Linked DNA regions of Arabidopsis thaliana. The protein of the gene in region 1 interacts with the protein of each later gene in a pairwise test. Each region holds a gene or a part of one and is shown in the gene's direction. Other genes may lie near its edges.

What was found. The genes of interacting proteins can lie anywhere in the genome.
Region 2: the proteins of AT1G22810 (region 1) and PLIM2b interact in a two-hybrid assay, tested with the Arabidopsis thaliana proteins (one large-scale study listed by BioGRID).

What each region holds. Positions count from the first base shown.
Region 1 is NC_003070.9:8,071,624-8,078,109, reverse strand, and holds AT1G22810 (Integrase-type DNA-binding superfamily protein), read left to right. Parts: upstream 1-3,072; 5' UTR 3,073-3,140; coding exon 3,141-3,575; 3' UTR 3,576-3,879; downstream 3,880-6,486. Other genes in the region: AT1G22830 (Tetratricopeptide repeat (TPR)-like superfamily protein), read right to left, coding at 1-1,189; AT1G22800 (S-adenosyl-L-methionine-dependent methyltransferases superfamily protein), read right to left, coding at 4,071-4,184, 4,360-4,514, 4,615-4,702, 4,783-4,861, 4,961-5,025, 5,125-5,194, 5,306-5,447, 5,527-5,605 and 2 more.
Region 2 is NC_003070.9:279,878-287,204, forward strand, and holds PLIM2b (GATA type zinc finger transcription factor family protein), read left to right. Parts: upstream 1-2,883; 5' UTR 2,884-3,041; coding exon 3,042-3,176; intron 3,177-3,254; coding exon 3,255-3,354; intron 3,355-3,436; coding exon 3,437-3,459; intron 3,460-3,566; coding exon 3,567-3,656; intron 3,657-3,935; coding exon 3,936-4,205; 3' UTR 4,206-4,368; downstream 4,369-7,327. Other genes in the region: AT1G01770 (propionyl-CoA carboxylase), read left to right, coding at 1-33, 97-211, 303-493, 572-691, 780-860, 1,012-1,244, 1,432-1,471, 1,561-1,659 and 2 more; KEA1 (K+ efflux antiporter 1), read left to right, coding at 4,904-6,474, 6,575-6,746, 6,840-6,930, 7,120-7,256. UniProt on the Arabidopsis thaliana protein: Binds to actin filaments and promotes cross-linking into thick bundles. Has an actin-stabilizing activity. The actin regulatory activities are inhibited by pH > 6.8 but are [Ca(2+)] independent.

The sequences.
Region 1 (6,486 bases):
CGGAAATGATAGAATTCCATGTACTCAAACTATTTGCTTCAACCTGCTGAAACACTATAAACGCGTGCCTAAGATCACTGCATCTTGAGTACATTGTGATCAACGAATTCCGAACATTGTCAATATCATGGGAAAAACTACAACTACGGATCACAAGGCAATGAAATACTTTCCCCCACTTTAACGCTCCAATGTGTGAGCATGCCTTTAAACCATTAATCATAGCTACAGAACCTATTCTTACATTGCAATTTCTCATCCCAACAACACAATTCAAAGCCCCTATGTAATTTCCTGCCTCCAAACAACCTCCAGCTATTGTGTTCCAAGTTACAATACTCGCTTCGACACCAGAGAGATACATTCTATCAAGAAGCTTAAAAGCTTCCCCTAACTTTTCTTCTGAAGTATAACAGTTGATTATTGCATTCCATGAGACAGCATCCCTTTCAGACATCCTGTCAAACAATCTCCGAGCAACATCCACTTTACCAAATCTTTTATACATAGATATCAACGCGTTGCAGACATACAAGTTACACCTGTGAGAGCTAACCTCAATAGAGCCATGAACAACTCTCCCATATGCAAAATCCAGTAATGCTGCACAAGCCTTGATAACAGACGGGTAAGTAAATTCATCCGCTCTAATTCCTTTACTCATCATTCGCTTGTAAACAGAAACAGACTCCTGAAACCTTTTGTTCCTAATATACGAACCGATGAGCACATTCCACGGCAAGGGATGCAAAATCTCAGAGTTCTCAGTAATGGTCTGAGCTTCGTCAAGGAGATTAAAAGCAGAGTAGAAAGTGACCAACTTTGGGACCAAAACAGAGTCAAACTCCAAACCCGACGAGATACAATGAGCATGAAGTTGCTGGCCAGGAACAAACTCATTAAAACCCACACATGTAGATAGAAGAGAAGCTGATGAATACAAAACGAATTCATGAGAACCAGACTGGTAGCGAAGTAGAGAGAAAGTTCTGAAAGCTTCATATAATTGACCATGGGAAATGCAATGTCTAAATGAATTGAAAAGCACTTGTGGAACTGATTCATCATCATGGGTTTTGGAAGTTTCTGAGATGGGTCTCGGCAGCTGTTTCCACGATTGAGGAATAAACTTGCAAATTTCGGATACAGTGAGACCTCTGAGTATAGAGCGAGAAGGAGAAGACGGCATATACAGTAAGCTGCATATGATGGCAACGAATGGATTTTGATTATTGTTCCAAGACTAGTTTGATCCATCAAAGCGAAAGTTCAAGCAATTTTGCTTCTCCGTCTGAAAGTCAAAGGAAGAAAGGTGAGAAAGATAAAAAAAAAGTTTCGTTGAGGAATTTCATCGAACATGTGGTGAGCGAAACATACCGTATACAGACGAAACATGGAAGTATAAGTACATCTAGAGAAACATAAAAGAGATAAGACAGATGTCATGTAGGAAGAAAAAGGAAAGAAGACAGTGATTCGGAGACAGTATCGACGGAACCGGACGAAGCGAAAGTAGGAGTAGCCGCGCGTGAAGGTTATGTAGAAAGAGACTCCTTTTTGACATTTATTCAATGTTCTGGCATGTGCTCAGATGATTTGGGCCGCTTGTTTAGATTTGTCCACTTCCAGACCCATTGCAATTGTAACCCATTTTAGCCCACTAAAATCTGACTGTAACAACTTTATAAATTTATGGTTTTTTCAAAATATTACCAAGGTTAAATAAATCGTGTTAGATGAAGTTGGCACCAGTTTTTGATATTACAAAATGAGGTCACTAGTATTTTTTTTATAAGAACTTATAATAAGTAATTTATTAATTGCATTATTTCATTAATATTGATTTTATATATACTGATACACTAGGGTTTTTATAAACATTTAAATTGTCTAAAATCGCATAGACCAACCGAGTAGGTGTGAATATTTATTGTCAGATATCAATAATCTGCTAGACGTTTCTAAAAACATCTCTAATCGTAACTTACCAAGTTACCTTTGAGGTTTCTTCTAAATGAGTCGGTGACTATGATAAGACGGTGTATCACATCACAATCAACTCCCAAATGTCAGTGTCGAGAAAAACCTAATCAAGTATCAACTACAAAGAATTGGTTATGCATCCGAAGGATGAAAACACATTAAATACATTATGAGACTGGGTTTCTCCGTGGATGATTCGTGTTTTGGATGTGGTTGTGTGTGAACTAAAATTTGACAACCATGTACATGAGTCAGCAGACACAGAAGAAGACAAAAAATAACTTTTTCCAGTTAGTTTGGGCTGTTGTGTCTGTGTGTTGTCCGTGGAGAATCATTAAGTCATTACAGATCTTTGGTCAAATGCCAAAAATAAAGGACCCCCTTTAGACGGTGCTCATGTCACGCATGACGCAATTTGTAACCAAAAAAGGCAAAGAAAGTCTTTCTTTATCCCACGTGGTTTAACCATCGACGACGACGTTTTCACATTCTTCATCGGTGGAGTTTGAATCGACTTTTGTGTTTTTCACTGCTTTTCTCTATACTATTATGTCATCACCTATTTTACAGATTTTTATGAAACGAAATAGAGGATATATAGTAGTATAAAATTCTAGATTTCGACTTAAGACTTTTTCATATAAAAAAAAATGAAAAACCTATAAATTAAGGTAACCTAACTATGATATACCAAAGCAACAACAACAAAAAATAAAGATTAATTTTCTATTTTAAAAAAACAAAAAATATCATTTATTTTGAAACCAAACAGAACGGTATATATACCACTTGTTTTATAGAAATGACTCTTACTTTCTAAATACATTGAATTTACTGTTAGACACAGCAAAAAAAAAAGTTACAACTTGAAAGAAAAAAAAATCGACTAGTCAGGCACATGTCAAATTGGTACCACTAAAAAAATGGGTCATACTTTGACCAGTTGATTTTTTCCTCGAGAATTAACTAGTTTTATAATTGGTCAACTTCATTCTCATTCTTGATTCATATTAAAAAATATTATATAATATTTTGACTTTCACTAAACTTCAACGTATAAATAGTCTTTGTATCTTCATATTCAAACATAAACAACACTCAAAAGTCTCTTCTTCTTCTTCTTCTTCTTCACATCGATCATCATACAACAACAAAAAATGGATTACAGAGAATCCACCGGTGAAAGTCAGTCAAAGTACAAAGGAATCCGTCGTCGGAAATGGGGCAAATGGGTATCAGAGATTAGAGTTCCGGGAACTCGTGACCGTCTCTGGTTAGGTTCATTCTCAACAGCAGAAGGTGCCGCCGTAGCACACGACGTTGCTTTCTTCTGTTTACACCAACCTGATTCTTTAGAATCTCTCAATTTCCCTCATTTGCTTAATCCTTCACTCGTTTCCAGAACTTCTCCGAGATCTATCCAGCAAGCTGCTTCTAACGCCGGCATGGCCATTGACGCCGGAATCGTCCACAGTACCAGCGTGAACTCTGGATGCGGAGATACGACGACGTATTACGAGAATGGAGCTGATCAAGTGGAGCCGTTGAATATTTCAGTGTATGATTATCTGGGCGGCCACGATCACGTTTGATTTATCTCGACGGTCATGATCACGTTTGATCTTCTTTTGAGTAAGATTTTGTACCATAATCAAAACAGGTGTGGTGCTAAAATCTTACTCAAAACAAGATTAGGTACCACAGAGAAACAATCAAATGGTTGTGAATATACATTATAAGGTTTTGATTAATGTTTGTTTCACTGATTTAGTGAAGTTTGGTCCATTGTATACAAATCTATTCAAGAAACCTAGCGCGAGATCATGTTTCGTGATTGAAGATTGAGATTTTTAAGTATTCGTAATATTTTTGTAAAATACAAATATGTTTCTGATCAGCTATTATTCGATACGAAATACATGGGCGAAAGCAGGCGTCCTAATTGTGATGCTTTCGCCCAGTGAAAGACTCCGACAAATCTACAAGAGTTCCTCCAAGTACCTTATAGCTTAAGTCACTGATTTCTCTCTCAAGTGTCATTTGTAAAGTCTCTGCTTATTGAATGTTTCTCTTCTTCAATCATTCCATCAAGATTGTCCGCCAAATTGCTTTTGGAGATCCGTGAAGGATACGGTGGCTGAACCTCTTCGTTTGGCCTGCGGGTGAGACGAATGTTCTCTCCATCCTGTCATGTAAATCACCTACACAAGAATGCCAAACGATATATACTTTAGGCCTCAAATGTTGTTAATTTCACTTGTAGTATTTAGCATAAAATTGTTTTAATCATGGATTGTAGCAAAACAACTTGAATAATGAAGCTAGGTTATGGGTTTTTTTCACTGTTGAGTTAGTTCTGAACTATTATGGACAGACCTGAAAAGTAGCGGGTATAGTGCCGTCCTCTGTGGCAAACATGGAGTCATATATGGCTGCCGTGGCAACAGCAGTTTCACGATTCAAAATCTTGTTTCTCTCGAGAAGAGCATTGGTTTCACCCATCGCACGAAGATGCTCTATAAGATCCATCGCTGAGTAGAAAGATATAAACGAGAAGGCAAATCAGAAATAATTCTTGGAAGATACACGTTGTTGCAAACGATGAAGTAGGAAAAAAGTGGAACAGTTTACCTCTCTTGTATTTAACTACATATTCATCAACATCAACACCAGGAAGACTAAAACCCGCCCTGGTCAACAGATTCCCTGCGTCCCTAACCTGAAAAAGAAAAGAGAAGCCATGTTCTTTCACCTCAGTACTAGAAATCAACTTGATCTTGCTAAGATATTCACACACACCTGTGCCAAAGGTGATAGCCGAGGACTAATCCCTCCTTCCCGCTCCATGTGAGCCAAAGTGCATGCTATTCTCAGCTCCCTTGTAAATAATTTCAATACGTAAAGGCTAATCAGAAACATGATATGGAATAAGAGACTCTACATTGAGTATTGATTTGAAATGAAAGAGAGGACAAACTTTAAGGTTTCTCCACCAAGAATTGCTGCTAAAAATAAGCCATCCGGCTTCAGTGCTAGCTTGCACTGCAGTTATTACAATCCAAAACCAACACATTATAAATATTTTCTCATAGGACAAACCAATTCACATACACCAACAAAAAGCAACGAAAACGAGAAAACCTGTATCATGGATCCAGGAAGATCATTTGTCCAGTGAAGCCCCAACGAACTAATGATCAAATCAACCGAACTTCACATACAACATATTTGACAAGATATTAGTAGGTAATAGAACTCTAGTGAGTCGCAGCAAGGGGAAAAAAACAAAGAAAAACAGGTTTTACAATAACGTCCTTGTTACCTCTCTTTGACTGGCAGAAACTCTTCATCACCAACAAAGTAAGAGGTTTCAATGGAGTTATCGAGTGAATCGTCTTGAGCATCTCTACATGACTTAATCATGTCATATGAAGTATCCATCATGATAAGCTTCTCAATCCCACCTGTGCAACAAAGCCAAAAATCATCATCAACAACACTCAAAATGCAGAACCAGAACAGTCAAGAGAGAGATAAACTAACCGCGACCACGTAGTAATCTCTTAACAGCACCAAGAGATCCTCCCAAACAAAATGCAGTGGGAAAACTCTTCTTACAATCCTTAAGAAAGAGCAAAAACAATATTTACTAAGCTTGATTGAAATCGAGAAATTTAGCCCCAAGAGAAGCTAAATTGCTCTCTCAATGGCGAGCATGCATCAAACAAAAGAGTACCTCTAAGCGATCAAGTAGATTATCTGCAACAGCGTCAACAAAAGAATCGTTTTTTTGGCGAGAAAGCCACGCCGCTCGATCACGCTGCAAATCAATCGAACACACAAATTATAAGAACTCGAAATCTGGATTAATAATAAGAGAGAGAGGCAAATGTAAGATGAATTCGAACACTACACATGTATTCGCTTGAGGTCTCGGTCAAAGATCTTGACTTTGGAGCTGTTCTGCTGAAACTCACCGTCACCGCCATAAGCACCTTCCGTAGAGAAGGAGAGAGATGCGAGAAATGTATGAGCTTGCTTCGTAGATTTCTCGGGTACTCGTTTTAGGAGACCAATTCTTCCGTACAGTGAATTGATCCTCCGCATCTCTATCTCTCTATCTCTGGTTCTTAGCTGCACCGGAATTGGTCGGACGGAGGTTCTGGGTTTGGTTTGAAGAAGAGACGGTAGATTTCTCTGTCTTGTATTCTTTCATTTTGATCCCTGAAGTTTATCTATATTCTATAATGTTTCCCTATTGTTTTTAATTTTACGTTTTAACCCCTATGTTGTCATTAGAATCAGATGGATTATCAACTTTCTCTGGCAAAACTGTTTACGCCTCCAAGATGGTTAAGTACTTGCAACCAGAAACGCTATGGAAGCTGGTAATTGGTAAACAATTAATACAACAGAGGACTCAAGATTCTTTGTAAAGTCCATTAAATGTTTACATGATTGATCAGTTCCTTAAGGACAATGTGAACGATAGAACTAACGAAC
Region 2 (7,327 bases), 7.8 Mb from region 1:
GTGGCTGATGCCGCCTTATTTTTAGCACCAATGGTGAGGCGTTCTTGTCGTTTCCTGTTTCGTGATTAAATCTGATCATTCTTGTTGTGTCATCAGGTCTATGAACTAGGTTGGAATTGGAATGACTTGGAGCTGCTAGCTCAGGGAACTCTCGCTGGCCACCTTCTGGAGTGCGGTTGCCAGCTCACTGGTGGATACTTCATGCATCCAGGTGCGTTTTACGCTTATTGGCTCAGGGAAGATATGATGAACTACTGTTTTCCATTATCAGTATGGTCATTTCGTTCCTCAATGTTCTTTAGGTGATCAGTATAGAGACATGGCTTTCCCTCTTCTCCAGGATTTGTCACTTCCTTATGCAGAGATTGGCTATGATGGTAAAGTATGTGTATCAAAGGTTGAAGGTAGTGGTGGAATTTTAAATACCAGTACTTGCGCCGAGCAACTTCTGTATGAAATTGCTGACCCTAGTGCCTACATTACACCTGATGTGGTAAGTTAGCTGTACAAAATCTAGAAGAAATAACTGTAAAAACGGCGGAAATATTTGATTTGAAAACCTTCTTTGCAGGTAATCGATATTCGAGGTGTTTCTTTCCTTCCCCTGTCAGACTGCAAAGTACAATGCAGTGGAGCAAAACCATCTTCTAACACTTCTGTGCCTGAGAAACTCTTGCGGTTAATTCCAAAGGTTGTTATCCATAGAAAATGCTGGTGGTATTTGATTGATGCTAAAGAGCAACCTATGTTTGGTTCTATAATTCGTATTTTCTTTGCAGGAGTGTGGTTGGAAAGGGTGGGGAGAGATATCTTATGGAGGAAATGGTTCTATACAACGTGCTAAAGCTTCAGAGTTTCTGGTGCGCCTATGATTAATATGTCTATGATGTAGTAGCATTTTTTGGCCCCATCGTCGCTTGAAATGACTCCTTATGGTGCCTTAAATTGGAGTTCATTTCTTATCAAGTGTATGTACGTATTTTACTTGTGTTTTTTCCTTCTTTCTTTCAGGTTCGATCTTGGATGGAAGAAACCATTCCTGGTGTTAACCATTGTATTCTTTCTTATGTGATTGGGGTTGATAGCTTGAAGGCGACAAGCAACGGCACTGAATCTTGGCAGTCATGTGGAGATATTAGATTACGTATGGATGGTCTTTTTAAACTGAAGGAACATGCGGTCCAGTTAACAAAAGAGTTTACTGCTCTATATACAAACGGACCAGCTGGTGGTGGTGGAATTAGGTAATTTCTTCACGTTGATGTTCGCTCCATATATCAATCCAATGCTAATTGTAGCTTTACAGTAGTACCAAATCCTGTTGAGTTGAGACATCTTATGACTAGGGACAATGTATTGAAACTAGTTATTTGTTATGAGATTCGGGGTGGTCTTTTTGGTTTGACAAAACTGCTTGTAAATTATATGCAGTACCGGACACAAGATGGAAATTGTTCTTGAAAAGCGTTTGGTAGGTCGTCTCCATCAAAAAATTTAAACTAATATAGCCTTGCATCAATCAATTTTACGGATTCTGATGTTATATGTTTGGTTATCCAGGTCAGCCGTGAATCTGTAATGTGGAAAACTGGACTTCAGCACACCAACACTTCAGAGCCAGAGACCTCTGAACATCATTCTCCAGAGAAAATGCCAAAGGTTAGCTCGAGAGTTCTTACTAAACTAATTGTGATGACTGATAGATAATGGAAATAAACATGACCTGAATTCAAATTCCTTGGTGAATCAATCCTAGTGTGTTCGAACATCAAACTAACTCTGATGACTGATAGATATGTTTTACTATTTGAAAGCTGAAAATGTGAAAGAACTCTAACATGTGCATTTGTATTAACACCTTGTTATTACTTCCATTTGTAGTTACCTAAGGAAAATCCAAAGAACCTTACAATGAGAGGCTATCAATCTGGATTTCATCACTCTCCTGCTCCATCTGGCCAAAAGATCCCACTCTACTCTGTTGCACATAGCCGGGCTGGCGATAAAGGAAACGACATAAACTTCTCAATAATCCCGCATTATTCCCCAGATGTCGAGCGTCTGAAACTCATAATTACTCCTCAATGGGTAAAGCATGTGATGTCAGTTCTGTTATCAACCTCTTCGTTTCTGGAATTGGATGCAAAACCAATGGATGAAAATGTGTCAGTAGAGATATATGACGTTGAAGGCATTCATGCTATGAATGTTGTCGTACGGAACATATTAGATGGTGGAGTCAACTGTTCCAGGAGGATCGACCGACACGGAAAGACAATCTCAGATCTCATCTTGTGTCAACAAGTTGTGTTGTAAGACTACTTTAACTTTGCATATCAGATTTTTCTATTCAAATTCTGTGGTAATATGTTAATAAAAAGGGAGACTTGAACTACACTATAGTTCTAAAAGATAATAGAAAAAGAAGGAATCGACTTAGTGGTGCTTCACTTTCTTTTACTTCTATACATTAAAATTACTTTAATTTACAACTGGATATCTTGATAGATACGCATACAGATAAGTATTAAAAGCATTGTTTTGATTGAGAGAGAATGATATTATATATTTGTGTAATGTTAGGTTGTTGTTATATTCTTTTGCAGGATCTGACTGACATGGGTTGCACCACCTCAGAGACAGTTGGCTTAAAGTAACAATCCCTTATTGGATTGAAATTGTCAGAAACCACAACCCTTCTTTTGCTCAACTCCAATCACTTTGCCACCCAATTTTATCTCATTCATTTTGCAAAAAAGATCAAAGAGAGAGAGAGAGAGAGAGAGAAAGAAAAAAAGGAAAAAACCTTCCTCCGTTACAACCTCACAATTGCAACAAAGTTTCATATAAAAGAGGACAGAAATTTCGCAGGTTCCTCCGTTGTCTGAGGTAAAGGTTTCCTTCTTTAACTAATTCCTCAGATGACCTCTTGATTTGTTGGAAAAAAAATTAAAAAATCTGTTTCATACAGGATCTTGGAGAAGGAAGGAAACAACAACAACCAAAAAAAAACCAAAAAAAAAAAAGATAAAACAAAAAAAATGTCTTTCACAGGAACTCTCGACAAATGCAATGTTTGTGATAAGACAGTCTATGTGGTGGACATGTTGTCCATTGAAGGAATGCCTTACCACAAGTCTTGCTTCAGGTGTACCCATTGCAAAGGAACCCTTCAGGTGCACTCATTACTCATTTTCTTGTTAGATCTTCTATGATCATATTATATCAACAATTTATCTATGTGTTGATGGCAGATGAGCAACTATTCCTCCATGGACGGAGTTTTGTACTGCAAGACTCATTTTGAGCAACTCTTCAAGGAATCTGGCAATTTCAGCAAAAACTTTCAACCAGGTTCGTATTATAAAATCTCTGACATCGAATCTCTCTATCTTTCAAATCATCATGATCATAACAAGTCTCTTTCTTTTCTCAGGAAAAACTGAGAAGCCAGAGCTGGTAGGTTCATCATTACATGTCCTTGTATATGATTAGCGTGTCAATATTTCATTTTCTTTCTTTTATGATCGACTAATAGGATCTGTGTACTGATTTAAACATTACAGACTAGGACTCCCAGCAAGATATCTTCCATCTTCTGTGGAACACAAGACAAGTGTGCCGCTTGCGAAAAAACTGTTTACCCTCTTGAAAAGGTTAGTGGTATACGCATCTGCAAATGTTCTCATGGCCTAAAATACCAACGAACTAGTCTCGTAGAGAAATTTATTTGCTCTAGAATTTGTTTTTTGTTTTTTCATTTCCGTAGAATTTTTCTGTTCGGATAAAATCATTACTAGATCAAATGGAAATAAAATTTTGATTTTGGTTTGGTTTAGTATACTTTTGGTTCGATTTGAGAACGTGATGTTGGTTGGTCCAAGCAAATGTGGAATCAATTTTGGCTTGGTTCTAATCGGGTTATTTGGTAACAGATACAAATGGAAGGAGAATGCTTCCACAAGACATGTTTCCGGTGCGCTCACGGTGGGTGTACGCTGACTCACTCCTCCTACGCCTCCTTAGATAGCGTTCTCTATTGCCGACATCACTTTAACCAACTCTTCATGGAGAAAGGAAACTACGCTCACGTCCTCCAAGCCGCCAATCACCGTCGCACAGCCTCAGGCAACACTCTTCCACCGGAACCTACCGAAGACGTCGCCGTGGAGGCCAAGGAAGAGAATGGCGTTTCAGAGTCTTGAATATCTCTTACATGAGTGTTTTTGAGTGAATGATTGAATGAATGTTGTTGCGGGGGAAAGATTTGATTTCATTTGTAATGAGTTGTTTCCATATGAAGACATGATTTTTTTTGTTATTTTTTTAATTCATTCGTTATACATTTATTATTACACACGAAAAAAAGGCAAGAATTGATGTTTTTTCACTCTATGTGTGCTGCTTATGATATGCTTTCCGATGGTGATGATGATATTCGATGTAATATCTGTTCGGTTCAAAGATACCAAACTACTTATATACCGGATCAAACCAAGTGGTTATCGGGTGATGTGAATCATTCATTATTTCGTTAGGTGAGAGAGGGTGTTTTCGTAAAAGTATCTAAAAACGGCCTTAGCAATGATGTCTGGTTGGCGAGAAACTCAAAAAGGAGGAGACAGAGAAAGTTGTTTGACTGGGAAAATTTGAAGAGACGAGCCAAAATTATCTGTTTGAAACGAACGGAATTGAAGACGAGAGCCACTCCTTTCCGTTTCCACCTTTCTTCCATTCTTACTCAACTTTCCATGATTGGTTAGCCTCTCTATCTGTCCGTGGCTTGTCGTTGATTTTTTTTATCTTGGTCGTCTGAATGTGTGGAATTTCGTTTTGCTTCACAGGAGTTGTATATAAGGTTCGAGGAATAAAGTAAGGCTACTTTTTTTATTTGATTTCCGATATGGAGTATGCGTCTACTTTTCAAAGGCCGATTCTATTCCATGGTGGAGATGGTGCGAGTTACTGCTTTCCAAATCGATTGATAAGTCCTAAAGGAATCAGCATTACATCTGGGGATTCTAAAGTGCATTCGTGTTTTCGATTGAGGAGAAATGTAGCACAAAGTGGTACATTGAATTTGATGAATGCGTGTTTCTCTGGAAGGTTTTATAGTGGTCATTTGCATTCTACAAAATCAATACTTGGCAATGGCCACCAAGCCAAAAGAATCCCTTTTGGATTTAGGTTACGTTGTCAGGGTCATGAATCTCTGGGTAATGCCGATAGTAATGATCATCGGATCGGGGAATCTTCCGAAAGTAGTGATGAAACTGAAGCTACAGATTTGAAAGATGCGAGAGTGGAAAACGACACTGATAGTTTGGAGGAACTCAAGGAGTTACTACACAAGGCAATTAAAGAATTGGAAGTTGCTAGGCTCAATAGTACCATGTTTGAGGAAAAGGCTCAGAGAATCTCAGAAAGAGCCATAGCACTCAAGGATGAAGCTGCTACTGCTTGGCTTGACGTAAACAAAACCCTTGATGTCATTCGAGATACTGTTTATGAGGAGGCTCTTGCTAAAGAAGCTGTTCAAACGGCTACTATGGCCCTGTCTCTGGCTGAAGCTAGGCTTCAGGTTATAGTGGAATCACTTGAAGCTGGTGCAGGGAATGATATTCCACATGTGTCTGAAGAGACTGAGGAAACAATAGATGTTAATGATAAAGAAGAAGCTCTTTTAGCTGCCAAGGATGATATTAAAGAATGCCAAGTTAATTTAGATAATTGTGAGTCCCAACTGAGTGCTTTGCTGAGCAAAAAAGACGAGCTGCAAAAGGAAGTGGACAAGTTGAATGAGTTCGCTGAGACAATACAGATCAGTTCGTTGAAAGCCGAGGAGGATGTTACCAATATTATGAAATTGGCTGAACAAGCTGTAGCATTTGAGCTTGAGGCTACTCAACGCGTTAATGATGCAGAGATTGCTTTACAGAGAGCAGAGAAGTCTCTCTCCATTTCTCAGACCCCAGAGGAAACTCAGGGCCAACTCTCGGATGAAGAAACTTCTCAGGAGGATGCGATGGTACTTTCAGGTAACGTTGAAGATGTTACCCATCAGGTTGAAAAAGAATCACCTAAAGATGGAGATCTACCAGTGGTACAGATCACAGCTGAACTTGTGCCTGATATAGTTGGTCAGAGGAATAAAAAACTAACTCAGCCTTATGAGTCAAGCGATCATGAGAATGGAAAGCCAAGTGTAGAGTCTTCTAAAGTGGTTGAAGCAGATTCTGAAAAGCCAAAGATTAATGTTCAGACAAAAAAACAGGAAACTCAAAAAGATCTGCCAAAGGAGGGTTCCTCTCTTAATTCTCCCAAGGCATCGTTTAATAAATCCTCCCGTTTCTTTTCTGCATCTTTCTTCTCTTCTAATCCAGATGGGACCGCGACAGTGTTTGGTAGTCTGGTTGGTTCTGTCAAACAGCAATGGCCCAAACTAGTTCTTGGGCTTGCTCTTCTTGGAGCAGGGTCAGTTTGAAAATTTACTCTTCTTTGCTTCGAGTTTTGAAGAATCATTTTTGTACAGAAAGTTCTCTTTTTGTTGATACGAGCTTCTTATTCGTTCCAGACTGACATTATACTCCAATGGAGTAGGGGGGAACAACCAGTTGCTTCAACAGCCAGATGTTACCAGCACTAGTACAGAAGATGTCTCTTCAAGTACGAAGCCACTGATCCGGCAAGTGCAGAAACTTCCCAAGAGAATTAAGAAACTACTTGAGATGATCCCTCACCAGGAGGTATGAACAATTGTTCTTGTTTTTTTTTTTCTTTTACGAAGTGCAAATTGTATGGAATGTACTTTGCAGGCTGAAACTTTCTGCAATTAATAGGTCAATGAGGAAGAAGCTTCCCTCTTTGACTTTTTGTGGTTACTGCTAGCAAGCGTCATATTTGTGCCTCTATTTCAGAAAATTCCTGGAGGTAAGTAGTATTTTTTTTTCTTCTTTTGTTAATTCTATCCATTGCATTACTATTTGTTTCCCCTTTCCCTCAAACTCCTACAATTTCTATGTTCTCATCAGTCAAAAACATTTTCAGTTCTGGTCTCGCAATCATGTTGCATAGAGATTTATGTGCCATCTTGATGGCTTCATCTGCTGCAATGTATAGGCAGCCCTGTTCTTGGGTATTTGGCAGCTGGAATTCTGATTGGTCCGTATGGTCTTTCGATAATCCGTAATGTGCACGGAACCAGGGCCATCGCAGAATTTGGAGTAGTTTTCTTGCTTTTCAACATCGGCCTTGAGGTATTATTTGATATATGTGTATGCTACCTTTTTGCTTTTGAACTGTGTTTGGTAGAAGAGCCAATATTTTG